Linked DNA regions of Caenorhabditis elegans. The protein of the gene in region 1 interacts with the protein of each later gene in a pairwise test. Each region holds a gene or a part of one and is shown on either strand. Other genes may lie near its edges. The genes, in order: vab-3, vab-7, ztf-2 and mgl-2.

What was found.
Region 2: the proteins of vab-3 (region 1) and vab-7 interact in a two-hybrid assay, tested with the Caenorhabditis elegans proteins (one large-scale study listed by BioGRID).
Region 3: the proteins of vab-3 (region 1) and ztf-2 interact in a two-hybrid assay, tested with the Caenorhabditis elegans proteins (one large-scale study listed by BioGRID).
Region 4: the proteins of vab-3 (region 1) and mgl-2 interact in a two-hybrid assay, tested with the Caenorhabditis elegans proteins (one large-scale study listed by BioGRID).

Annotation. Positions count from the first base shown.
Region 1 is NC_003284.9:10,498,217-10,503,007, forward strand, and holds the start of vab-3 (Paired box protein 6 homolog), read left to right. Parts: upstream 1-1,673; 5' UTR 1,674-1,889; intron 1,890-2,021; exon of another isoform or gene 2,022-2,077; intron 2,078-2,871; exon of another isoform or gene 2,872-2,978; intron 2,979-3,913; exon of another isoform or gene 3,914-4,019; intron 4,020-4,354; exon of another isoform or gene 4,355-4,495; intron 4,496-4,791.
Region 2 is NC_003281.10:10,918,640-10,926,367, forward strand, and holds vab-7 (Homeobox protein vab-7), read left to right. Parts: upstream 1-1,704; 5' UTR 1,705-1,746; coding exon 1,747-1,788; intron 1,789-2,947; coding exon 2,948-3,086; intron 3,087-5,077; coding exon 5,078-5,235; intron 5,236-6,806; coding exon 6,807-6,997; intron 6,998-7,159; coding exon 7,160-7,373; 3' UTR 7,374-7,402; downstream 7,403-7,728. UniProt on the Caenorhabditis elegans protein: Transcription factor. Involved in motor neuron fate determination and maintenance, acting as a transcriptional repressor to counteract gene activation by transcription factor unc-3 in a subset of motor neurons.
Region 3 is NC_003279.8:7,289,385-7,293,594, forward strand, and holds ztf-2 (Zinc finger protein ztf-2), read left to right. Parts: upstream 1-1,887; coding exon 1,888-2,293; intron 2,294-2,457; coding exon 2,458-2,787; intron 2,788-2,840; coding exon 2,841-3,187; 3' UTR 3,188-3,568; downstream 3,569-4,210. UniProt on the Caenorhabditis elegans protein: Transcription factor. Represses gene expression, probably via binding to DNA consensus sequence 5'-[AT][CT]TTCC[AC][AG]-3' in promoter regions. May play a role in pharynx morphogenesis.
Region 4 is NC_003279.8:10,385,372-10,393,309, forward strand, and holds the start of mgl-2 (G-protein coupled receptors family 3 profile domain-containing protein), read right to left. Parts: upstream 6,018-7,938; 5' UTR 5,946-6,017; coding exon 5,832-5,945; intron 5,487-5,831; coding exon 5,332-5,486; intron 5,284-5,331; coding exon 5,106-5,283; intron 5,056-5,105; coding exon 4,884-5,055; intron 4,590-4,883; exon of another isoform or gene 4,457-4,589; intron 4,404-4,456; exon of another isoform or gene 4,255-4,403; intron 4,180-4,254; coding exon 3,732-4,179; intron 3,460-3,731; coding exon 3,289-3,459; intron 3,240-3,288; coding exon 3,105-3,239; intron 2,824-3,104; coding exon 2,637-2,823; intron 2,385-2,636; coding exon 1,872-2,384; intron 1,529-1,871; coding exon 1,272-1,528; intron 1,125-1,271; coding exon 822-1,124; intron 593-821; coding exon 489-592; intron 301-488; coding exon 200-300; intron 148-199; coding exon 1-147.

The DNA.
Region 1 (4,791 bases):
ATAATTCAATTTTGAAAATTCAGAAAAATAGTTTTGACATCCTCTACTACCTTTTTTTCTCATTTTATCTTTAAAAAATTAATTCAGGGCGATCATTCCCGCCAAATACGGACATGAATCCCATTTGGTTACCAAAAAAGTGCGGCGGCTGTCGTTGAAAATAAAAAAATCCAAAAAGTGGGAAAACGACATCTTCTGTTCACTCATGCGTACAGAATCTCCAAAAACATTTCGCCGTATTCATTTTTGGCGTGATGTACCACATATGACTTGGTCCAGATAAAGGTACTGGTGTAAATTTGTCTGTTGTGTAATCGGCATTTGACGCTAGCTTCTTGCCCAAGTTTGGCAAAAAATTTCAACTTGAATCACAACACGATAAGCTTGGTTTGGACTGTGTTTAAGTTTACGCCAAGTTTGATCCAAATAACAGTTTTTAAATAATATTTTTTTTAATTTTTGGGAAAAACGCAGGTAACGCCAAATGCCAAGTATAATTATTTTTAGACAACCGTCTAAAATTTGGAAAATATATTTTTAATACAAAAAATCTTACTCCGAGATTGATAAATGTGGAAATTTTGTAAACTACGATAAAAAATGCAAATTATTCTTAGTGTGTCAATAAAATTTTTCTATTTACTTTTCACAGTCCCAGTACTTGTTTCCTGCCAGATTTTCTCAAATAGGACTGACACCTGAAGCGGAATAATTTGCTATTTGACTTCCGAGCCCTCGAATTCTGGCGGGCGGTCCAACAAGAAGAACCCTCAATATTCCGTTAGTTATTTGTCGTCTCTGAAGACTTTATTGTCGGATGCAGCGATACCGTAGTCCGAAGAAAAGAATAGAAGAAACTGACAATGAATGGAGAAGTGGAGTAAAGCCAGCTACAAGCAGGGCAGAAAATATAAATGAATAAGTAAAGAAATCAGTTACAGAAAAGTGACATTAAATTTTTTCCACGTATCAAATTATGAAAATTATTCATAGCGAGGTTTTTTAAATGTTTAATTTGCAGTTACACTGCTTGAATCCGAATATCGATGCGGTTGCATTAATATTTATGTATAAGGAATCATCAAAAATAAAAGCAGTAGCTGATTAAAACTTATTTTTAAATCAGATATGTGGTGCATCTCCTTTTCAGAAACCAAGTAGTTTTGTTCGATCTGTTAAATTCTGTTAATCACAATGGTTCAGAATGTCTGTAAACATGCTTAGAAAACTAATGAGGTCGGTGGAGCAGAAAGTCTGTGAAAACTTCTAATTGGAATCAGGTGCTGGCAGTGAAATCACAAAATATCTTGGTCTGTACACCGGGCAAGAGCATGCCTACACCCCGCGAGTTTGGCATGGCTAATCCCTTGTTTGACAGATGTTCAGGGGGAAGGAGCTACCACTGAATAGTTTCCACGTGAGTAGAAATTGATTCATGTTCATAACATTGATGGCAATGTATTCGAGAAACAATGCCCATCTGCCACAAGTTGCAAAAGGTAGATTGTGAATAAAGCTGCGCATAATCCATAGAGAATATGAATGAAAACTCCGCCCATTTCAAAGAAGACGATTGGCCCGAGAATAGAAGCAAAAAGTCAGCGGTGTCCTAGGTGAGACAACGGAGAAAACGTGTCCGGGCGCGGCTCTTTTCAATTGTGGACCGAGAGGGAGAGACGTCGACGTCTTCTTTTTATGTCACACTATATCGTTGAAATAGTTTCGCGCTTTTTTGTTCTGTCCCCCGAAAGTTTGTTGGACAGTTAGATACTGAGGATCTCTTATTCTAACACTTCCAATATCTACACTTACACTAAATTTTACGCTACACAACACCAAAATCCGCGAGTATTCAAATAGTGACGGTCGAGTTGACAAAAGTGAACGTGGTGAGTTAAACTCTTGTTGGGTAATGAGTTAGCAGAAAATCAATAAGATGGCGAGCACTTTCAGATGGGCGTGCTAATGAGGTGGGCATGGGCTAGAAGTAAGAACTACCCTTCTTCGTCGGCATATATTTTCTCATTTCAGTCTGTTGCCTTTCTGCTGATTATCATTAGACTTTCTTGTTGAGTAGATAAATTTTGATGCCTCATTGACAATCATAAATAATAGAGAAACAATCGATATTGTCATAATGATAACAAACTAAGTAGGAATAATGTAGAACTGGTTATATTTTGAATAATTTCAAAACTCTTTGGTCTTTAGGCTAAATATAGAAACCGAGTCCTTCTCGAAACATTGATGTCGTGGGCTGCTATCATGTGTCTCCTATGACTTCAAACTTTTCTGAAATTACGTTACCTAATTTTTTTGAGCTTTCATGTTGTATCACAAAAATTTTTCATTCTGCTATAATTTTTCACAGATAATTGTTTGGTTCTAAATTCTGGGCAAAGTTTCAGAATATATTTTGAACTTTAGAACTGAATTCTTGAGCATTTCTGATTTAAAAAATCTTTTTGAACTTTTGCTACAACTTCTTTTCTCTACCATAAAATGTTTTCAATCTTGTTCGATGCTTCTACAAAAACTCCAACATCAGGAGCCATGCTTTCTCCTCCCACTTATGTTATTCATTGTGTATGTACATCCGCATGTGTCCATCATTGACTCCAAATTCCATTAGCCATCTACCGTATCTGGATTTCCGGTGTGTGACGCCGACTCCATGGCCAACACAGAATCATCGTAATTCTCCCCGCAATCTACATATCGCTACTCCAATTTTCGAATTTTGCCCCGTGTTGCAATTCCAATGCATTCAATCAAATTTAAAAGTTTTGATGATTTGTCTACTCATTTTTCCCACCCGTTCCGTTTTCTCCATGTTCAACATTTTTGTCGCCACCACCATCACTGAGAGGGGTTTTTGTAATTGGCTTGAATTGACACCCATTAACCGGCACACCCGCTGTTTGGAAGATGTCATAACGAAAACGTCGTTTGATGGAGGTCTTTGTCCGCGCCTTGTTTCCCTGTCCCTATAGTTGAAGGTGTTCGCCATCAGGCACCACTACTTTTTTGGCGCCCCTCTCTTTTTCTCTCTCGTCAGTGTCAAACGAGTAGTTGAAAATTGTGCTATTCCAAATTACATGGAGCCCCACTCCTCTGACCCGAAAGCCTTTCCATCAAATTTCGTTTTAGTAGATCTTTTTAACTTGTCATTATGCTCCTTTGGATAAACGATTTGGCTCACAGGCAAAGCATTTTCAACTGTGGGGACATTCCGGAAACACTTAGCCAATTGATAATGACAGTCCATCGATGAGTTATAAGATATGTTATCAGATGTACAAATCTGACACCCATACAACAGTCCTCACCTCGCTCTCGTCGTCATTCAGTTGCCAAAATCGTCATGCCTACTTCCAATTATGCAACTTTATCTTACGGGAAAATCTAATAACTTTTGCATTTCAGCTATGGCACACATGTTCAAGACATATTTTTAAAAAGTGAAAAGGTTGTCGGGAATATATAAAGATAAGGTATTGAAACTTTGGAAGCCCACGTTGAGACACTGTAAATAAACATTCACATTCACAATTTTTATCGTAGTCACTAATGTCTTGTTCCTTTAAAAAACATTTTCAATTTGCGGATTACAGAGGAACTAACTTCAAAAATTAAAAAAAAATCATTGAAAACGTTTTCTAGAATTACTTTTATTGAGTTAGAAAAGTAGAATCATGCGCAAAGTTTTTAAATTGATGTGCAAGAAAAAATTATCTTTAAGCCTAAAAAGCAAAATCCAATTTACGACACTTCCAAACGACAGTAAAAATTTTAAAAATTCAAAACTTCTCTTTTTATTTTTATCCGCAATCTTTGAATCACCAAGACCACTATTATGAGCAACTTCAAACAAAAAAGTTTATGAGTTCAGATGTAGTTCGAGATACTGAGTCATGAGCCTTCTCCTTTTCGTTCTCAAGATTTTGATCTCCTCAAACCGAGCTGGGTCCATTTCTACAGCATTGTTCTATTCTTTTGTCAAATTGGCTTTTTTAACCCTTTCTTACCTGCCGAGGCCTTCTTTGTTACCTTCCGATCACCACATCTCGACGGTCCTCCCCTCTTTATCTTACTTGCTGCTAATTACGTGTTCTCGTCAGTCGGCTCCAGGCCCGGATTAACTTTGACTACAAAACATATGTCGTTTGTGTTGTCTCGCTGCTGCATCAATTCTGGGTCAATAATTTGTGATTAGCTACCACCTCCGGTCTAATTAAGGGCTCCACAGGTTGAGGCAGCTCACCTTCTGTTGTTCTTGTTTGGTAATACCAAAGCATCTATGTAGTTAGACTTTTGTAAAAGATTATGAATCAGTGAATCAGTACTTGCAGACAACTGAAAAAGAGTACATGCTTACTTTGACGTTAATGGAACTTCTAGAAGTATCAGATAATGTATTAGAAAATAGGTACCTGATTATCATATGGGCCAGTGACTCGGAGACGAGTGATAAAGTATCACATGTAACTGAGCATGTAGTACATGTACCCTAGAAATCCCACCTTCCATCTCACCTTTTTCGGGTCTTACTTCTGTTATTCTTTTTTAGTTTCCATAATTCACTCAAAACCGCTCATTACCATTACCACATTACTACTTCTCCGCTATATGCATTTGATATTAGACACCAACTATTGTGACCGGTGTCTTCAGTCTTTTCCCGCAATGGAGTAGGTGACTGTCATTATTGTAATTTTGTGGATTGGGGATGTATATAGGTCCATTTACTAATTAACGCACAAAAATTGTTATGGATGCGCCTCGGGTAGC
Region 2 (7,728 bases), on another chromosome or scaffold:
CCGCGGCCCACCCCTGGTTCGGAAGTTCCAGTGTTCTCAGGCACACTGCCTATACTCAACTTTTGAAGGGACATGCCCTACAAATAGAGTAAACATTAAACCATTTTGTATTGTCTTCCACATGTATTCAAGTGTATCAATACCAAAAAGTAATGAAATAGAGAGAAGGGGGAGCGGAATGCCTGATGAATGATTCATTCTCTCTCTCCCGATGCAACATTTAGGGGAGATACATGCAATGACAATAAAAGAGCTGCTTAGTCATGTCACTTAATGACTTTTGATGAGGCTTTCATCACTTTTTGATGGGGAGGAACACTTTTTTGTTTCCATCTGACTTTGTGGCCTAATTAAGAAAAACTAGGCCATTGTGTAGATGGCTTTTAAAGTTTTGAAAAAAAGGTTATGGGAATCCCAAGAAACTTCAAAACTCTGATTTCGCAAAATTGAATTTCTATTAGAACGGTGAGATCATACATACCAGGGGTGTGCGGCAAATTTGCCGAATTTGCCGTTTGCCGAGCTCGGCAAATTTCAAAAAAGTAGATTTGCCGAATTTGCCAAGCTCGGCAAATTTCGAAATTTGCCGCACACGTCAAAAATTTGACAGTACAATTTTGACTAAAACTATTGATTTTTTAGCCAAAAATTTAGTAAAATGATACAAAATTGAGCTATTTTGATGCTTAAACAGACATTCTACGCGGAACTTATTCAGAAACCAGATGTGTGTTAAGAATTCAGTAGTTTTGGTGCTCCAAAAAATATAAAAAAATATCAAATTTTTCCGAGTTTGTTAAGCACGGCGAATTTGCCGAATTTGCCGAATTTGCCGTGCTCGGCAAATATTGAAAAAAGAGATTTGCCGAATTTGCCGAGCTCGGCAAAAGTGGCCTAGAAAATTCAAGTTAGGCCACCTGTCAATTTGAATGTTGAATTTTTATGTTGAAAATACTTACATAAGTTTTTTCATCCGTTTCACCTAGCTAAGCACATGGCCTAGAAAAATCAAAATTAGGCCACCGTAAAAGAGAAAATAATTTGTATATTAATATGAAACATTGAATGAGCTAAGGGGCTCCAGTTGCTTTGTGGCCTAAAAAATTTGAACCCTCGGCCACCTCCGTGAAATTTTCGAAAATTTTCATTTTGAATTTCATCGTAACGGCCGGGAACTTTAGCTTGATCACGTGGCCTAGAATACTGAAGTTTTTTGAGAACCGTTATTGGGGAACTTTCACGCAGGTACCTCGTGGGTATTAGGAAACATGGTCTAGAAAAAAAATTAGACTGTCTGCAAAATAATTTTAATCATTGTGTAATATTCTTCATTGTAAGGGCCCTAGAACCTTTACTTGGTTACGTGGCCTGGAAAACTCAAAAATTCGGCCACTAATTGGTTTTTTGAAGTTTTACTTGAAAAAAAAAATGACCTGATGTTTTTGAAAAGCAATACATTTTCTCTTAATATTAAATTTCCAAAAAAATGCCAAATCTGCCGTATTTTAAATTTCAAACGTCATGGAAAAAGATTATTATCTAAAGTCTCTTTCTATTCCAGCACTCCTTCCCCTCTTCTATTGGCCGCCCTTCTCATCTGAGCGTGGGGCGTGGCCAAATCCACCGTAGTCACCGAGAGGTTGAGCCCCGCCCAGCGCCTTATTCTATTGTTTCCTTTATCTTTGAGTTTTAGTACTCAAGTTCTTTTATTTGAAAAAAAAACTATCAAAAATTTTAAAAATTAGCATGCAATCATTTGATATTGAGTCCCTTATTGGGGTTAATAAGGTGAGATTTTTTTGTTTTGTATTTTGTTTTGAGAACCATGTTTTTTACTTTTGTAGAACTGTTATTTAATGTCTGTAAACTTCTTGTTGTCAAAGATCCATTAAAATTAAAGTTTCTAAATTTTTGTAGTTTTTTAGGGATTTTTTCAACTTTTTTGATAACTGTAATAGGTAGAAATAAAAAATTATATAATTTCATGCAATAAAATTTAATGAAAAATTATTAATCTAATCATAAAAGTTTAGAAGATTTATGTTGCTAAAATTTTATTTGATAACTGTAAAAGTTTCATTCAGTTTCACAATTTTCAAGATTATCGGGCGTTTGAAGCTTAAAAGATAATTTTTTTAAAGTGTTTAAAAGTGGTTATAACTTGGTTTGTAATAATGCAAGCAAAAAATTTTCAACAAACAATTTGTTCATTATGTTTTAAGCTATAATTTGTTAGTTGTCAACTTTTTGATAACTGCATTAGTTGCAGAGTTATGGACAATTTAATTAGGTTGCATAATCAAAAAGTGTCATATTGCATAATCTCAGCTATAATGCATAGTTGCATAGTTATTTGAATTATTGAAACATTTAAATTCTAATTTTTTAAAATCTGTTTTGCTAGAAGTTTTTAAATTATTCTTTAAACTATTTTCTTTTTTATTAATACTTTGAAATTTTGATTTAAGAAATACAGAAAAAAAAATTAAAATCGTTTTTTGAAAAGTTGAAATTACCGAAAATTATCTATTTTGACAGCCAAACTTCAGTTATTTCTAGTATTCAAATTAATTCCAATTGTAGTTGAAAAATAATTATGTCTAGTAAAACAATGTCGATTTTATTTTCAGATCAAAAACTGTTTACATAAAAAAAGTTGTTTTTACCTCTTTTAATCTAGAAAAATTTGAAAAAATATATCATTGAAACTTTTTCGACACCCTAAAGTCTTTTAGCCGAACTCTGAAGACCCCCGGACAGCTCCAGGATGATGCAACTCTTAGTTTCTAAGTAAAGCCTCCCTGACACCCCAAAACTGTTATGGCCTAGTTTTGGGTCCCTAGGCCACGTTGAGCATAAAATCTACTTTAGCCCCATCACCTAGGACACACCCCCCCCCCCCATCCGAACACATAAAACATCTCGTAATTCGAATTCTCATTTCCAGGTCCCATCACTTGTGGAGATGGTCGCCGCATCTCGAGCTTCCTCATTTTCCCCTCCATTTGAGCAGCAGCATCATGACCCGATGGGTGTGGTGGCCGCAGCGGCAGCAGCAGCAGCCGCCGGACGTCATCATCCGTATGGTAAGAAAAATGGGTGTGTGTGTGCCCGAGATGAGAAGGGACATAATTATTCAAGAATACTTCTTCCCCTAGCTTCATCTCCTCGCTGAACACTAATTTAGTCCCGTATTTGGGTGGGGGTGACAAATTGAGGGAGATTGATTGAGGTGGAGGGGGGTGAGCGGATGGATGAGGTTGACACGAGCAAATGGACAATGAGCACCTATTATGACACGTGGGAGTAGTGGAGCGGGTAGGCAGTGGCCGAGTTTTTTCTAGGCCACGGGCTAGAACCAACGCGTGAAAGATTACAGTTACCTCCGAGAAGTGACTGAGGTTGCCTTTTTTAGGCCAAAAGTATAAACAAATTTCCACATTCTAACTTTGATAGTTTTTACAGTTTGGTTTTTTTTAAATTCAAATTCCCCGCCAAAAATTTCTCCGCCAAAGTTTCTACTCTGAAAATTTGAATTTTCCCGTCACAACTTTTACTGAGTGAGATCTTTTGAAATCCCCGCCAATGCTTTTTCAACAAAGCTGTACTAGCTTCCCTTTTCTTGATGGCCTAGAAAACTCAACCACGGCCATGAACTTTCAAAGGGCTAATATAGTTCCATGTGCTCCTCCCTGAAAGTTCTCTTTGTGGCCTAGAAAATACAATTTCAATAGGCTTCATATCTCCTAGAACATGGCGTGGCCGAATTTTTGCTTTCCAGGCCAGACTTTTTCCTAGGCCACGCAGCTCCCTGTCATCATAAACGATGTGTAAATGTTGCGGTTTCGACACAATCACTGAGTGTGAATGAGGATTGTTTGGTGTCGGCTATTATATCGTAAATGTTCTCTCTTTTTGTTTTACACCTGCCCCCCCCCCCCTCTCGGGGTACTGTAGACGCGTCGTTTAGTGGTCAATTATCTATGTTAGTGTTGCGAATGGGTTATATGATCACTGATAGACACACTGGGAAACATGCTCTGATGTGCTTAACCTCTTCCCCCTCTCCCCCGAAGTCAATCGCCCTAATGTTGCCATGTGTCATGTAATTGGTGTTGCGTGTCGAATCAGTTCATAGACACCCTTAGTCGTAAAAAGGGGAGTGAACCAATTATTTAATTAGGACACAATGTTCCGGCCGGGCAGGTACACGGGTGAAAGTGGGAAGGGTACATCTGGCCTAGGGATTGCAAGCTCGGCCAGGCTTATGTCATGTGGGCTTTTAGACTAGCTAGTCTTTTGGTCAGGAGACAACTATACCGCTGATAAGTATAGGAAGCCGGGAGTTTCTGCTTTGCCTAATCAACCTAATCTAACTACATCTATAGGGCCCAAAGCACCATCATATACTAATAGCATAGAATTCTCAAACCCGGCCAAGTTCCGTTATGGTGTCCACAACACTCTTAGTTCCACATGACCAAGAAAGCTCAATCTGAGCCATTTTCCTTTAGATCGGCATATTGTAAGCTTGACCTGGTCACCTAGAAACTTCTAATTCTGCCACCACTTTTTAGAACTGTCCAGATCACCCTTCCTTACACATGGCCTAGAATTCACAAACCCCTCCTTCCCCTCAAAATCTGAAGGGTTAACAACAGTCTTCCCTAACGGTCTAGAACCTTTTGAATGGGCCATATTCCTTCGAGGGATCCACAACACCCTATCCATAACCTAGAATCACCTGGATACTCCAGTCATATGAGCGATCCACAAAAGTATACTCCTTCACCTTCTCATGGCCTAGAATTCCAAAACTCGGCCATCCATCTCCTCTCATAATCCCTCTCACTAGGATAATGGGTGGAAATTATGTTTTTCATCAAGAAATGCATGTATTAATTCCGCATCGCCGGGATGCTAATAATGAAAAACAAGAAGAGTCAATTTGTGCCGTTTATTGATGAATTTTAAAGCACTTTTAATTATTTAATTCTGTATGACGAAAAACATAATTTGCTCCGTGTTTTTGTCGTCGGGAAGCTGTTGATGAAATGCTGATTTATAATAATTTCAGATAACCGAGACGACGGTCAAATGCGGAGGTATCGAACGGCTTTTTCACGAGAACAGATTGGGAGGCTTGAGAGGGAATTCGCAAAGGAAAACTATGTTAGCAGGAAGACACGTGGCGAGTTGGCGGCAGAGTTGAATCTTCCAGAAGGTACAATTAAGGTAAGTTGAAAATAGAGAAAAATTGGATGAAAATTCCTAGAGTATTAAATGGCTCTAGGCTACATCATAGCTCTTTGGGCGACCTATAATATTTCAGACCAAGTCACTACAGACGGTTTTAGCTATTACTGACAAGTCTAGGCCACCACTAAGAATTCCAGGCTACCACGATCTCTTTAGGCCATCACTGAGGATTCTTTGTAATCAGAGTTGATTGTAGGCCAATTTTAAAATTTCTAGATCATCAAAAAGCCATCGCTAAGGATTCTAGACAACTATTGAGAATTCTAGGCTACCACTGAAGATTCTAGGCCACGGCTGAAGCTTTAAAACTAGAACTAAGTTTTCTAGGTCATCAGTAAGGATTCTAGGCCACTATTAAAATTCTAAGACTACGTTAAGCTTTCTAGAGCACAATTGAGAATTCTAGGCCACTCACATGTTTGAACACATTTTGGACGTTCGTATCTCTGAAAATATCATAGCTATCAAAAAATTATCAACTACCAAATTATTCAAAATTCAATTTTCTACATTTTATCAGTTAAAAACATTTTTATAGCTACAAAACTGACAAAGTTAGAAGCAGATTTCCGCATCATAATAGGCTACCGTACCCCCGTCCCCCTGCCGCCGTCATCGTCAAATCCAAATCATTTCCCATGACATACACGCGGGACCCGCTGCTTCTTCTGCATATCAATCTCCCTTGAAAAATGAAAAAGCTGAGAGGACAGGAGAAAACGGAGGGCCTATGAGTGATTTCGGAGTATCGCGCCTTTTATTCCCACTGGCATACTTTTAGAACTTCGTAGCCTCTTCAACTAGTTACAATATGATTTTCGGGGGAATTAGTATAGAAGGAGAAGGGTTAGAAATTTATGAGTTAGGCTTCGGCTTAGGCTTGGGCTTAGGCTTAGGCTTAGGTTTAGACTTAGGCTTAGGCTTAGGCTAAGGCTTAGGCTTAGTCTTAGTCTAAGGCTTAGGCTTAGGCTCAGCCTTAGTCTTAGACTTGGAGCTAACGCTCCCCCACTGACGCTATTTAGGGTTATTAGGCTTAGGGTTAGGCTTATTCTGGGCGGGGGAAGAGATGAAAGGAAATCCTAGAAAATTACATGGCCTAGTTTTTTCCAGTGTCCTAGAAATAAAATTGTTGGCCTAGAATTTTCTGAGATGACCTAGCGTTTTTCAAAATAATCTAAAACTTCCTAAGATTATCCAGGAAACTTTAAAAACTCAGAAAATCTCCAGATGTCTTAGAAATTGTTCAGATGGCCTAGGAAATTTTCTGGTGGCCTAGGAACTATAATTTATGAACTAGAAAATTAAACGGTGGTCGAGGAACCTTTGACATAACCCAGGAATTTTTCTCGATGCATTTCCGACATGACTCAAAATTTTGAATTTTTGTGAACTTTCCAAAAAATTTTTAGGTAGCCTAGTAAACTTACTGATGGCCTAGAAAACTCTCATTTGCCCTACTTCAAATAAACTTGTGGAAAGTGGCCAAGTGGCCATTACTCGCAAGTGACTCTCGATTTTAGTCGAATTTTCTGAAATATTTCTTGCAGGTATGGTTCCAAAATCGTCGAATGAAAGATAAACGGCAACGAGTCGGTGGTCTCGCGTGGCCCTTTCCTCCACAAATGGCTGCCTACATGTTAAACCCATTTGCATATGAAATGTGGATGAAAACAGCTGCCGCCTCACAATTCGGAGCCACGGGTCCCGGAAATGGAGCTTATGGGAATAATGGATCAAGGTGAGTTGGAAGATTGGCAATATTGAAGTTTCTTCACAATTTTTGGAAATGTTTGGAATCGGAACTTTTTTTTTCGTAAAAACCAAAATAAAATTGTGAAAAAATTTTAGCTAAATAAATTATTTAAGGTTTTTTTTTCAAATTTTTCCAAATATTTTTCAGCACATCTCCATCAGCAGCTGGATCTCTTCCATTCCTTCCACCATTAGGTTTTCCATCATTTTTATCACAAAATTCAACAAAATCTCCATCTTCTCCACATTCAGACGATTCCTCAAAATCGAAGAATACCTCAAGTGATGATGATGAATCAAAACCTGTAAATTTTTCAAATAGCCCTTCCTCAAGTTCTCCCTCGCCTTATTCTACAGATTAATTCACTATTTTTTGGAAAAAAAAATCGGCAAAAAAAGGGGAAAAATGGACAAAATTAGCCAGGTGGCCTAAAAAATGTTCATGGTGGCCTAGGAAATTCTAAAGCGACCTAGAAATTTCTAAAGTGGTCAAGAAAACTCAACGGTGGCCTAGGAGATTCTAAAGTGGCCTAGAAAATTCTAAGATGACCTGAAAATTACATAGCTGGCCTAGAAATCGCTCTGACTAAAATTAGGCTTTTTCAATAGCCAAAAACACTTTTCGTGGCCTAAAAACCTCAATTTTTGCCTATTATCTGCCAATTTTTTTTTGTTAAATTTCCACAAAATTTGTATTTTCTTCGCTTTTTTGTCTCA
Region 3 (4,210 bases), on another chromosome or scaffold:
CCTTAATTGTTCAATTTTTGAACGAGAGGCAATTTGTCTGAAAATCTGGAAAAAAAAAGTATTTGCATCAATTGCCCTTTTGTTGCCATTCGTGAAACTTGCACACTCAGCAGCAAGTGATTCCTCCAGCCCACACGTTTTCGGCGCAAAAGTGTAAGTGATAAGAGCTTCAACTGGTACCTCCTGGAACCGAGGAGCTGACAGTGCTGCTCTTTTTGGCAGAAACTAGCGAATGAGCACAAATGCACTTTTACTTTATCTAGGTTACTATAACCGATGCTTCTTCTATTACCTTTACTTCCTCCATTTTACTCCTAAAAACTGCTTGTCATGTGTTTGAACTGTGCGGGGCCGCCTTGAGGTCCTTTCCGACCATTCTGTACCAGGTTGTTCCTATTTGGATTTCCTCGAAGAAGTTGAGGGCGCGAGAAAAAACCGAATGGCTGCAGGAGACGCCGCGGCGATGGTGGTGGTTACGCAAACTGTGCTTGAGCAAACATGTGCCTGAATTGAAAAAGAGAAGAAGACGATGACGATTAGGAACAAGAAGGCATTGAAGACGTTGAAGAAGGTCATCTTTGAAATTATGTTCAAATATGTTTTGGTTCTAGTTACCCTAGATTTCAAAAATACTTGAAGTACTCTAGAAACCCGAGTTGATATTTGTAAGGTTTATGTTAAACTCTACGTCATATTTTGAGTAACTGCCTACCGTAGTTTTTACACTTATTTGAAAAGAAAAAAGCACCTAGCTACTTTTGTAAGTTCATATTCATTTTAGGGCTAACTTACCTGTGCCTGGTAAAAGCCCACAAGACGTCTAGAATTACTATTGCAGTCTTTTCAAATACGTTCTTTTCTGGAATGGTTCTTGTTGCCCTGGATTTCAAAAATTCTCTAGAAATCCGAGTTGGCAATTTCATGCTCGGAAAGTGCACTTTTTTTCGAAAGATGATCGCTCTCAATAATTAACCTTCATAATACACATCATACTCTTCTTTTTTGCATTCACTTACAGTAAGCACTAGATATCTCGGAATACTCTAGTTGGGTTTGAAAATCTCCACGGTCCCTTTTCTATTTTTCTAGCCGTCCCCTATATCCACCTACAGTAGCCTTTGCGCCTGTACCTCTGCAGCACTATGCCTAACTGGGAGCAGGTGAGCCAATACCAAATAACTTTCCCAAAACTCTTTCTCCTCCCATCAACGGTCATCCGATCTCAATATGGCCACGTCATGCTCCAACTTCACGTACGCTTTGGCTCAAAACGAGTTCACTGACCGAACTGTTTGTCCAACCAAAACCTTGTGGCCGAGCGCAAGAAAGAGTTGTGTGTTGCTGATATTTTGTAAAAAGTAAACGTATCCTCTTCCTCCTACTGCTGTTGCTGTGAAAGTCAGTCAGCCCCGGAAGTGAACAGTTCGCTGATGCGACGACCTCCCACCCTTCGGCCTCCTCCTCTTTTTCCCCCAACAAAACTTGTGTCAACATACTGTGGTAGGAGCGAAAAGGTACCGCGCGCCCCATCCGCATTTTGCCATATCCATTCCTTCCCGAATCGGCGCTTGCTTCCTGGTGACCCTTCCCTTATCTTGGAGCAACTTTCACTTTTTCCACTTCTTATCTCCAATTCTCTCGTCTTTCTAGACAAAATAGATATCAGAATGTTCCTCCAGTTCCAAGTACATTGATACTTTTTCTTTCTCCAAATTTTCCCACACCTTCTTTTCATTACTTTTTCTCATTCGTGGTCTACTCTTTCTTATTTTTGATCTCGGTTCAATATTAGAATCTGCAAACTTAACAACTGAAAAAATAACATTTCTAAACTTACTATAACATTTCCACTTTTTAATTGCATTCTTTAAATTTCGTAAATTTAAGATGAATTGTGAATCGTTGCTCACTGCCCTTGACGTATCCACTCTACTCTCAACTCTTTCCTCACCTGAAAAAGAACATCGTCGTAAAAGACGACGTGGTGAAGTAGCCAATCCATCAAACACTCTTGATGCTCTTGTTGCTCGCAAAGCCGACGATCAACCATTTGAAAAGAGATATCTAAGTGAACAAGAAGCAATTGAAGGACCAGATGATGAGATTGAAATGAAAAAAATGGAATTGGATCCTGATGTATCTACACGCACCTGCTCTACCTGTGGTTACCAAGGAAAATGGGTGTCTGAGATGATTCGTCATAAGAGAGTTCATACCAGTGAAAGACCATTCAAGTGTCGTTATTGCTCCAGAACCAGCAAGTGGAAGGCTGACCTTATTCGACATGTTGCAAGTGAGTTCATATTACTTTTCTATTACTTTAGGTATTTGAATTCGCTTTAAACCTTTTGTAATTCTGTCAGATTTGAAGTTTGGCAGCTTAGAACAATTTTTGAAATGTAATCAATTAGCTTCTGCTATACCTGAAAATGTATTCTCCAACCTCAATAATTTCAGAAACTCATGGAATCCGTGTTGTCTCCAAATACAGCCGTTCGAAAGTCTTCGATGCCACCAACAGTTCAATGGATTCTTCGTGTTCTTCAGACTCTGATCGATGCATAATTTCTGAAAAGAGAACAGTGTTCTATCGTTGCCAATTGTGCTCATTTGAAGATGAAAGAGTATCTGTATTGAACAGTCATGTAAGCCATCTTCACAACACCTCCCCATGTGTTTGTCGATGTGGCGCTAAATTTGAAGATGTCCAAGGAGCACTTGCTCATTCCAATGGTCCATGCTCCCATGTTGATATGATTTACAACGTTATGCCAACTTATGAGAAAGGTAAACCATAATTTTAAATAGTTTAATTTCATGATTTAAATTCCTTTTTTCAGCATCTCCATTATCCCCGTGCAGAAGCGAATCCTCATCAGACAGCGGAATTCAGACAGATCCTGAAGAAGAAGCATCGATTATTACATCATCCCTACCAACTCCTCAACTTGGATCATCACCTCTTCTGTTGTCACCAACACTTCCAGTCACTCCATCTTTCCTTCCAGACATTCAATCAGCTCTGCTGAGCCTTCAGCCAAATCCATTAATGTCATTATACTTGGCATCTCTCCTACAATCTTCCTTGTTGAATAGTCCAACTATTCCAACATCTTTTCCACAAATCATCCCAACTACGATACTTACACCTTCTCAACAAGATGAGATGGTTGACGTTGAGATGTAATTCTTAAGATCTTGAATCCATAATCTCAAAATTTATAATTAAAACAATTTATCACTTCTTTACTTGAATATCTCAGGTTCATATACTCGAACCAATATATTTTCTGTTCTACTTAGCCAATCACGCACACAAACCCCAAAAAAACCCCAAATCTTAGGTATCTACTCACATACGAATCTCGTCTCAACTCTCAGCTTCCTGGTGAATTCATATTTTCTTTGCTAATTTTATTTTCCTTATCTGTTTCTACTATACGAGTCATGTTTCTATCACACATCCCTCCATATTTCTCTATCACATTTTTCACCGATTTCTCTTTTTTTCGGGATTGTTCTTATTTATATCGTTACGAATATTTGGAAATATACGCTTGTTTAAAAAAGTATTATCACCACTGCATAAACTCATATTTTAAGCGATATTATTGATTTGTATTTGCTCGGCATTTAGTGCCTCCTTTCTCCCACCTTTTGAGGTCTTCTCACCTTCCGCCCACCTTTTTGCCACCTGCTCCCCACCTTTTGTAAAAATATCACAATTATTCAACAAATACTCGAAATTCAGTCGCGTTTGCCACCTTTCTCCCACCTATTGTGGTCTAAAACAGCAGCGGCAGCGTTCTGGTGACACCAAAACATGTATTTGTGATTTACAACAAAAAATCTCGATAAATAATTTTGAAAACAATAATTCTTACATTTCAAAATCTGCCTACACCAGACCTGGGAAACGCTTATTTTTCCTACCTCATTACTGCCAGTTCACTAACTTGCTTCTTATCTGGCCTGCCTACATACCTTCTTTGTTCCTGTCACGTCCGATTTTCCTTGGTTCGTCTAATTTCTTATTTTATCTAATTTATAAAACTGAATGTTTTTCTACCCGTCGATCAAAGCATTTCAAACACATAAACTATATTTCCGAAGTTATTCCATACATATAAGGCTTTTGTTTGATTCGATTTTTTTTAGGTGGCATTATTGAGGTTCGGATGTTAAACTATTCCTAAATCACGCCCACGTC
Region 4 (7,938 bases), on another chromosome or scaffold:
GGGTACTAATGGTACAACTGCTTTACCAGCAACAGTTGATAACACTGTTCTCATGCTATTCTCAATTGAATCAGCCAGAAGTGCTCCTACCTCATCTTCAGATTCTTCAAGAAGTAGATTTGCAGCCGATGAGTTGATTTTTTCGTCCTAGAAATTGAAAAATTGAAACTATAAAAAAACTAAGAATAAGTGTACATACTTGATATCTTCGACAAGCATCAACAAGTTGTTGCACATCATCATCAAGACCTTGTTTCTTCCGGCCAACTATTGAGAAGCTTCGAGAGAATTTACTTGCTGCTAAAAGGATATCAAAATTTGATAGAAAAACTATTTTAAACATGATTAATGGAAAAATTGATCTCAACGTGCCTCAATTTTTTACTTATACTGAAAACTCAAAAATAACTTCATAAACTCGATAAACTGTGTGTCTTCAAACTGGCGTATCTTTAAATATATATTTTTTAAATATGTTTTGTTCTCACCTTCAGTTTGTGTTGAGACATCAGTTGAATGTGTACTTCCACGGGAAACAGGTACATGAACCGATGCTGTTCGTGTGACTCCTCCACCCATACTTGAAGATTTACTATAATTAAACATCAATTATCTAAAACTACGGAAAAATGGAAATTGACAGAGCCTCGAAATAGTCAAAAAAAACATTCACAGGAACTTCTTGAAATTTCTAAATTTTTAGACGTTTTCAAAGATGAGATCTTTGAAATGCACCCGTTCTCGAATTTAAAAAAAAATTATATTTTTGTAAAAATCTCATAGATTCAAAAATAAACACATCACTCGGAAATTGTACAAACCTTGCAGATCCACTCTGAACAGACGTTCTTGCAGTCGTCTTCGATCCAAGATGTTGTTGTTTACTTGTACTATCATAGGCAGCTTGAGAATTTCCGAAATGACATCTTATGAGCTTTGTAGTTGTATAAGATGCTCTGATATTCTTCTCAGGATGCATCAAAATTATGTATAACTTCGGAAAGAATAGCAAAGCAAGAGCCACAGATGCGGATAATGAATAGGAGAAGCTCATCACTAATGCCTTGTGAGTTGTTCCCATGTGAAGTACTAGAAATGCAATCCAGACAACTACTGTGCAGTACCTGAAATAATTAAATAAAATAGGAATTTATTAGATAAAATAACTGAAAAATGATAACATGTTCCTTTTGAAAAAATGGTAATGACTTTGCTGGCTGAGAACTAAAGACAACTACAGTTTAAATTTTGAAATTGCAAAAAAAACTTACATAGTAAATCCAATGAACTTTGCCTCGTTAAAGTTCTCCGGAAGATTTCTTGTTTTGAATGCATATAGTGTGCACAAAGTAATCAGAAAAAAGTCCCAAAAGAATGGAATTAGAAATGATTTTGTTTCAGTGTCACATTCTAATATCAACTTTCTTGGCAATGCGTACTTGGCATACGTGGCATCCGGCCAATCCCGCATCAAACCAACTCCGACGATCACACATTGAACTGCTACAAGGATCCAGGTTATCACTACCTGAAATTGGAACATTTATTTAAAGCGAGTTGACTTCTCTGAATATTTATTCCAAAAGAATGAGGGCAAAGCCTTTGGAGCATTATGAAAAAAGTTATTGAACAATTTTCAAAAACTTATCACACATGTCAGTTATTAGGAATTGAGTTTCGCATGGCACATTATTATTTCAACCTAATCAAACAATAACTTGTCAAATGAGAAATGCCTCATTCTAGATAATTTTCAAAAGTTCATACTGTTTCCAAATAAAAACATGAAGCTCGTTCCCAGATACTTTATTCGATTTTCATCATAATTTATAATATATTTTTTCAATTTCTCTAAGGTTCCAAGTTCTCACCTGAGAAAATGTAGTCAAAAACCGTGGTTTCTTTGTCAATATTCGCTTTTTACTTCCAGCTAATATCCTCGCTATTCGATTTGTCTTTGTAAGTAAAGCCGAATATACAACAGCAAATGCAATTGGTGGTATAACTCTTGTGATGAAGCATGAAGTTGTTGATGGAGTTGCAAGTAATGCAAATGATACAGCATAACACGCAACAAGACCAGATAAAATGATATATGACAGTTCTCTTGTTGTACTCTTCACAACTGGTGTTGAGTTGTGACGAAGGAATACAGCAAGAGTTGCCATACTTGTAATGATTCCAGTTACTGCTAGAACAAGGGCCAAGATATGTCCAAAAGAAGTCCATGAAACAACTTCAGGAATGATATATTCACATCCTGTTCTATTCGCATTTGGCCATGAGCCAAGAGTACAATTCATACATTGATTTGTTGTTTTATTCACATATTGGATATCCAGACAAGATTCACAAATCCAGCAACACGCCATTGTTTCTCGTTGCTGGAAAAATTTGAGTTTGAATATTTTTTGCATGCTCAAGTTTTGATTTTGTGAAATCTCTTTTCAAAATTATTTCACTTGAACATAATTTGTCCTTCTTGTTTAACTTTTTCCCAAAAAGTGAAACTGTGATGTTTAAGGCATTGAGAGATTGTATAGTGGACATTTTGTAGCAAAATACATTTGTATGTGACTTTTCAATCAGTAAAAAATTTTCTGGTCAACTTCCAAAAATTATACAAATCCACATACCCTTTGACCAATTCCACAAGGTCGACTGCAAACACTTTCTGGTAGAAGTTCAGTTTTATCGAAAAACATTGATTTAGCAGTCATATCAAGCTCTTCAACCCCATAGTCATTAATCGATTTGAATGATCCAACTTCATTGTACGGATTATCAAGATCCTTGGTTCCAATATAGTTGAGGATGTCGTACCTGAATAATTTTTTGTGTGCTTTATTCAGCTCGTAGGTGACAATTTCCGCAATTGCAGGGAGTCGATTGCCAGAAATTATAGATTACTGCAAACCCCTAGTTGGCGTCTGTCATAAACTTTGTGCTTCATGAACTTAACGATGACGTCGCTATCTCATCCAGTTCTAATTAGTTTTTTGTGCACGAAGAGAGCAAAAGTTCAAAAACATATTCACACTAATGAATTTTCAAATAATTTTAGTTAGTTTTCTAGGAATCATGCTAGATCAGTTGCTACTTACCATGCAGGTGGATCTCCATTTCTATCAAAGTATACAGGTTGTTTAAATTGATCACTATAAGTCACATTTAGCAAGTATTCGTAAAGCAATGTTCCATTTCTAGAGAGCATTTCTGTGCAGAGTGTTGAATTGTCACTGAAACATACGTTTTTTGTCGTGATCTGAATATTTCCAGAAAACTGACCGGCACCGGTCCTGATACATAGCCTTCAAGCCGAGAGCAACCACACGGATCGAATTGATTACTTGTGATAGTTTTGGATCTTCTTTGTATTGTTCATCTAAATTCTCATCACCACTACAGATTCGGATGTTTTCATTGTTTTTGTCTTCTTTTGAAACCGCGAACTGGCAACTGGAAATATTGAAAATGAATTTACATAACTGGAGACAATTTAATATTTTTAATGACAAACAGTTTCAGCGTTGTGGCCGTCCCCAGAAAAAAAAAACTGATTCTGCTGACCAGAAAACTTGCCTACCGTTTGATTCATGAACTTTCAGGGTTAGGGTTTTGTAGGCTAAATTTTTGTGATCTGAATCGAGAAGAAAAATATAAATGAGTAAAATAGGTATTTGTTTTGCATGAATTTGAACTTTGGCTTTTTTTTTAATTTAAAAACAAACTTGAACTTCTGCTGCCAAAACTCTCGAAACCATGGATTCATAGTGTTATTTTCTGGATGAAGAGCTGTGTAGTATTGTCGAAATCCTGGAATCTTTGGAGCATGAATTCGAATTGAAAATGATCCTTCAGCTTCTTCTTCTAAATCCTCAACAACATCATTTCTATCAGCCCATCCATCAGATCCAATCCATTGAAATCGTTTCATTTGCATTTTTCCATCGGCCAAATGTTTTTGAGCTTTAAAGAACATTCGCATTGAAGCTCCTTCACAGAAGCATACGACGACTTGAGGTCGAGAATTTTGAGAATCGAGTCGTGTAAGAACTTGTCGATATTCTTGTTCACTTGCCAAAGTCTTAATCTTTTCTGAATACGCTATACAGACTGATGATGATCGATGTGCAATTAGCTTTTCGAGACTTTCGAATCCTTTTTCTCCGTAGTTGCCTGAAAATTGTGTATATCAGTTTACTTTCAGGCGACTCGCTTTTTTTCTAAAATAGAAACTTCTACATTTTCCAGAAAACCCCTATTAAATTCAACTTTCAACTTTGATTCCATTCATATTTGATCCCTTTTTTCCGACCAATGTAGTCGTTGACTACTCGGATTCTTCACAAGAGATATCAACTTCAGATGCCACCAACAATTTAATTATTTTCTTTTTTGCACAAGCAGAAATCCCCTCTCCCTCTCGATTTTTGCTTGAGCCAGAAGGCTTTTCCTTGTGTCATCAGATGGCAAAAACGAGATAGACACAAATTCGATTCCACTTGAAGCACCCGCAGGGCATGAGAATTGAGTGAGAAAAAAGAAGAGGAGTTAACAGAAAATGGAGATATGGAAAAGTGAGGGTGTATTCTATGATTTACTTTTTTTAATAATAGGAAAGGCCGAAATGATTCATTGTAAAACTTGTAAAACGTTTGACAGATTTTTTCGAAAAAATAGACGCTACTCATGTAATTTCAGGAGCACTTTGAAGCATTTAAATTTCGATCTCATAGTCAGTCAAAAATATTTCAAAAATTTCAAAAATTCTCTGTGCTCCAAAGCATCAAATTTTTTGTAAATCCTATTTTGAAGATTCTTTTCCAAATGACAGTGCAATTTCAATTCAAATGTATATGCCAGACAATCCGGAGATTTACCTGCTGAATATAAAACTGCAACATATGTCCAGTTATAATGATGTAGTAATCGATTGATTGCTTGTGCTTGAAAAACATCAGATGGCACAACACGAAGAAAATAACCGAATTGTTCTTTGTCGGATAAGTCTGGAGTGGTGGCGGAGTATCCGACTTGAGGTATTCGAAAAACCTGTAATTTGTAGTTTTTGGGTATCTCTAACGGGGTTTCCAAATATATACCTGTAGCAAATTCTGTACTGCAATAGTAGAAGAACTCTTTCCAGGACCAATAACCGCCACCACAGGAACACTTTTCTTGTTACAACCAGGTGTTTGACAACATGAACATTGTGCAACTCCTTCTCGTAAAAATGCTATTGTCTGTTCCATTGCTATTCGTTCTGTCCAACATGAATCTCTGAAAAGTTCCATATTGTTTTGAAACCTGATTTTTAATATCAAAAACCGTATAGATAAGCCTAATTTGAATGGCAATTCCTCGTTGAGCTGTTTCACTGTGAGCATTGCAATTTCTGATCTTTGAATTCCATACTGTTCCCATATTTCGCCACAGCTCTCAGATCCGGCGATTTGGCGATGGATTGGAAAGAGTGCGCCGATCTAAAAGTAAACTTGCAGTTTTTTTTTAGAATGGACGATTTATTGAATATCACTAGATTTAGAGGCAAAACTTTTCAAAAAAATTTTTTTTTGGAATTTACATCTGGAGTAGAATCAGGTAAAATCCTCAGGGTGCTATAATATTTTAAGTAATAAAAAAGAATGTCAACAGTTGAAAAATCAGCATTAAAAAACACAAGCACATATTTTTGTAACTGATAGCAAAATATAATTTTCGGAATATCTGCTAAAGGTTTCAATTCCGAATTTCGGGATTTAGCGCAAACTAGAAAAGCTAATTCGAATTTCAAATTACTTTAGATGAATTAATCGTGAATATCCTACCTGTATCTCTCCATGAATCTCTGCCACAAGCATTCGTGCCGACTGTTGGACCGTCGTCTTTGCAACGACATCGACAACGCGAAGCATGAGAAGTGTGACATGACTGTAGAGCATTTCGCCGCGTTTTTGCTCTTTTCTACACACATGCACTCTTCTCTGATACCTACCACCTCGCCTTCATTTCTACTACAAAAAATGAATGAAAAAGATGGTTAAAAGAATAAAAGAAAGTGAACGGATGATCTTGAAAAATAAGAGAAAAAAGGAAGAAAAACGAAGAAAAAATGTATAAGAGATCCTTCCGCGTTGAGAAGTTTTTTCGTCTCATTGTGAATGACGAAGTGAGGGGAGCAAGAAAGAGAAAATGGATAAACAAGGATATGAGCATATTTATGAGATTTCAGATATATATGTGTATGTATACCTACAAATATTATAAACAGGTTTTATATAATAAAATTTGAAATTAAAAATGGCACAAAAACATGTTATTGTTTGATTTAAAAAATTGTCGATTCACATTTTTTCTACACAAAATTTACAAATTTCCTTTCCTCAAAAATGTAGAACAATATTTTATCTTTCTGATAAGTACCTCAAATTTAATTTTAAACTTTAAAAAAATTGAAAATAAGTTGTACAACTATTCCAAGAAGGGAAATTAGTATATTTTCCGGAAAAATATGACAAAAATATCTGCTGTCACTTGAATAAACTTCTAAATGCGATTGTCGTTTGTAAGATATTAACAGTTAAGTTCCAAAAACTCTAGTGAAAACTTGCCTACGTGCCTGCCTGCCTGCCTACCGTCTATTTTTTGACTTCTGGGCTGAACTCAGGTTTTAAGCGTTTGCACAGTGCAGATTTCAATTCTTTTACAAAATGCTCAATAATATGTACTTTGGAAGTAGGCACACCTATAGACATAAGGCAGGCGTAGGTCACCTGCAAAGCACATACAATACTTTTTTCAATTGCAAGAGAATGTAAACCCATAAAACATCAACTCTCCATACTTACTTCACTTAACTTTGCGACGTCACAACTTCAGAATAATATAAGAAATCCTTCAGAATTTTGAATGAAATGAGTGTGACAACTTGTATTCAACTGCATACTTTTAGAAAGAGAGCAAAAATGTGTCTCACAAATCAAAAAAATATATATTTAGTTGGGAAAGTTTAGGTTTATAACCAAGCGTTTTTTGAGAAAGAAACCAAAATAAGATATGAAGTATGCATACTTCTTATCAAAATGATAACATACACTTTTTCGCATCAAATTGTTTGGCGGGAAAGCAATGCGAGTCTTTAAAAATTGAAGTGGGAATGATAATACTTTGAGCTTTAGGTTTAGTTCAAAAGTTTTCTTGGGAAAATTTTATGCCAATCAGGAAAAAATGGATTTTTTTAATTACAGGCACGAAAATGCCTATTTGTGTGCCTACAAAGTAAATTTCCTGCAAGACGACCAATGTCTACTGATCACTACGACTTGTATAAATTATTCACGGCAAAATAGGCGTAGGTTATCTTTAAGGCAGGCAGGTAGGCATCTTGTAAAAACCTGCTTCTGGCAGAAAAAAACCAGATATACTATAAAAACTGTCAGCATCTGTGATTGTGACATGCTCTACTATTAAATGATAAATTGATGAAGGATATCGAAGAATCGAACATCTCTTCATCATCTTATATGAAAACATTTGGTTAGGGAGCTGAATGGCTGATTTTTGTGTTGTTGACCCCCATATTTGATAACAAAATATAATCGAAAACTAAGAGGGTCCTAGAGAAATAAAATAAAAACATTGGGACATCACACTTGTCGTGGGATCTGTTTTCTCCACCCCTTCTGCTACATCTAGTTTTCTTCCATACATTTTCAATTATTAGTCGCTTTTTTTGCTCTTTTTCTCTCTCTTCTTTTTGCTCCTTCTAGACAAGAATACAGAAATAAGAAGGAGATAGAAGGTGAGGCGACAAGTAAAAAGAAAAAGAAAGTAAAGAAAATGAGAGGTGGGTGGGCGGATTGAAAACAAATATAGGCAATAAGGGGTATATGAAAAAACGGGAAAAAGGAAAACGAGGAGAGAAGAATGAGTCAA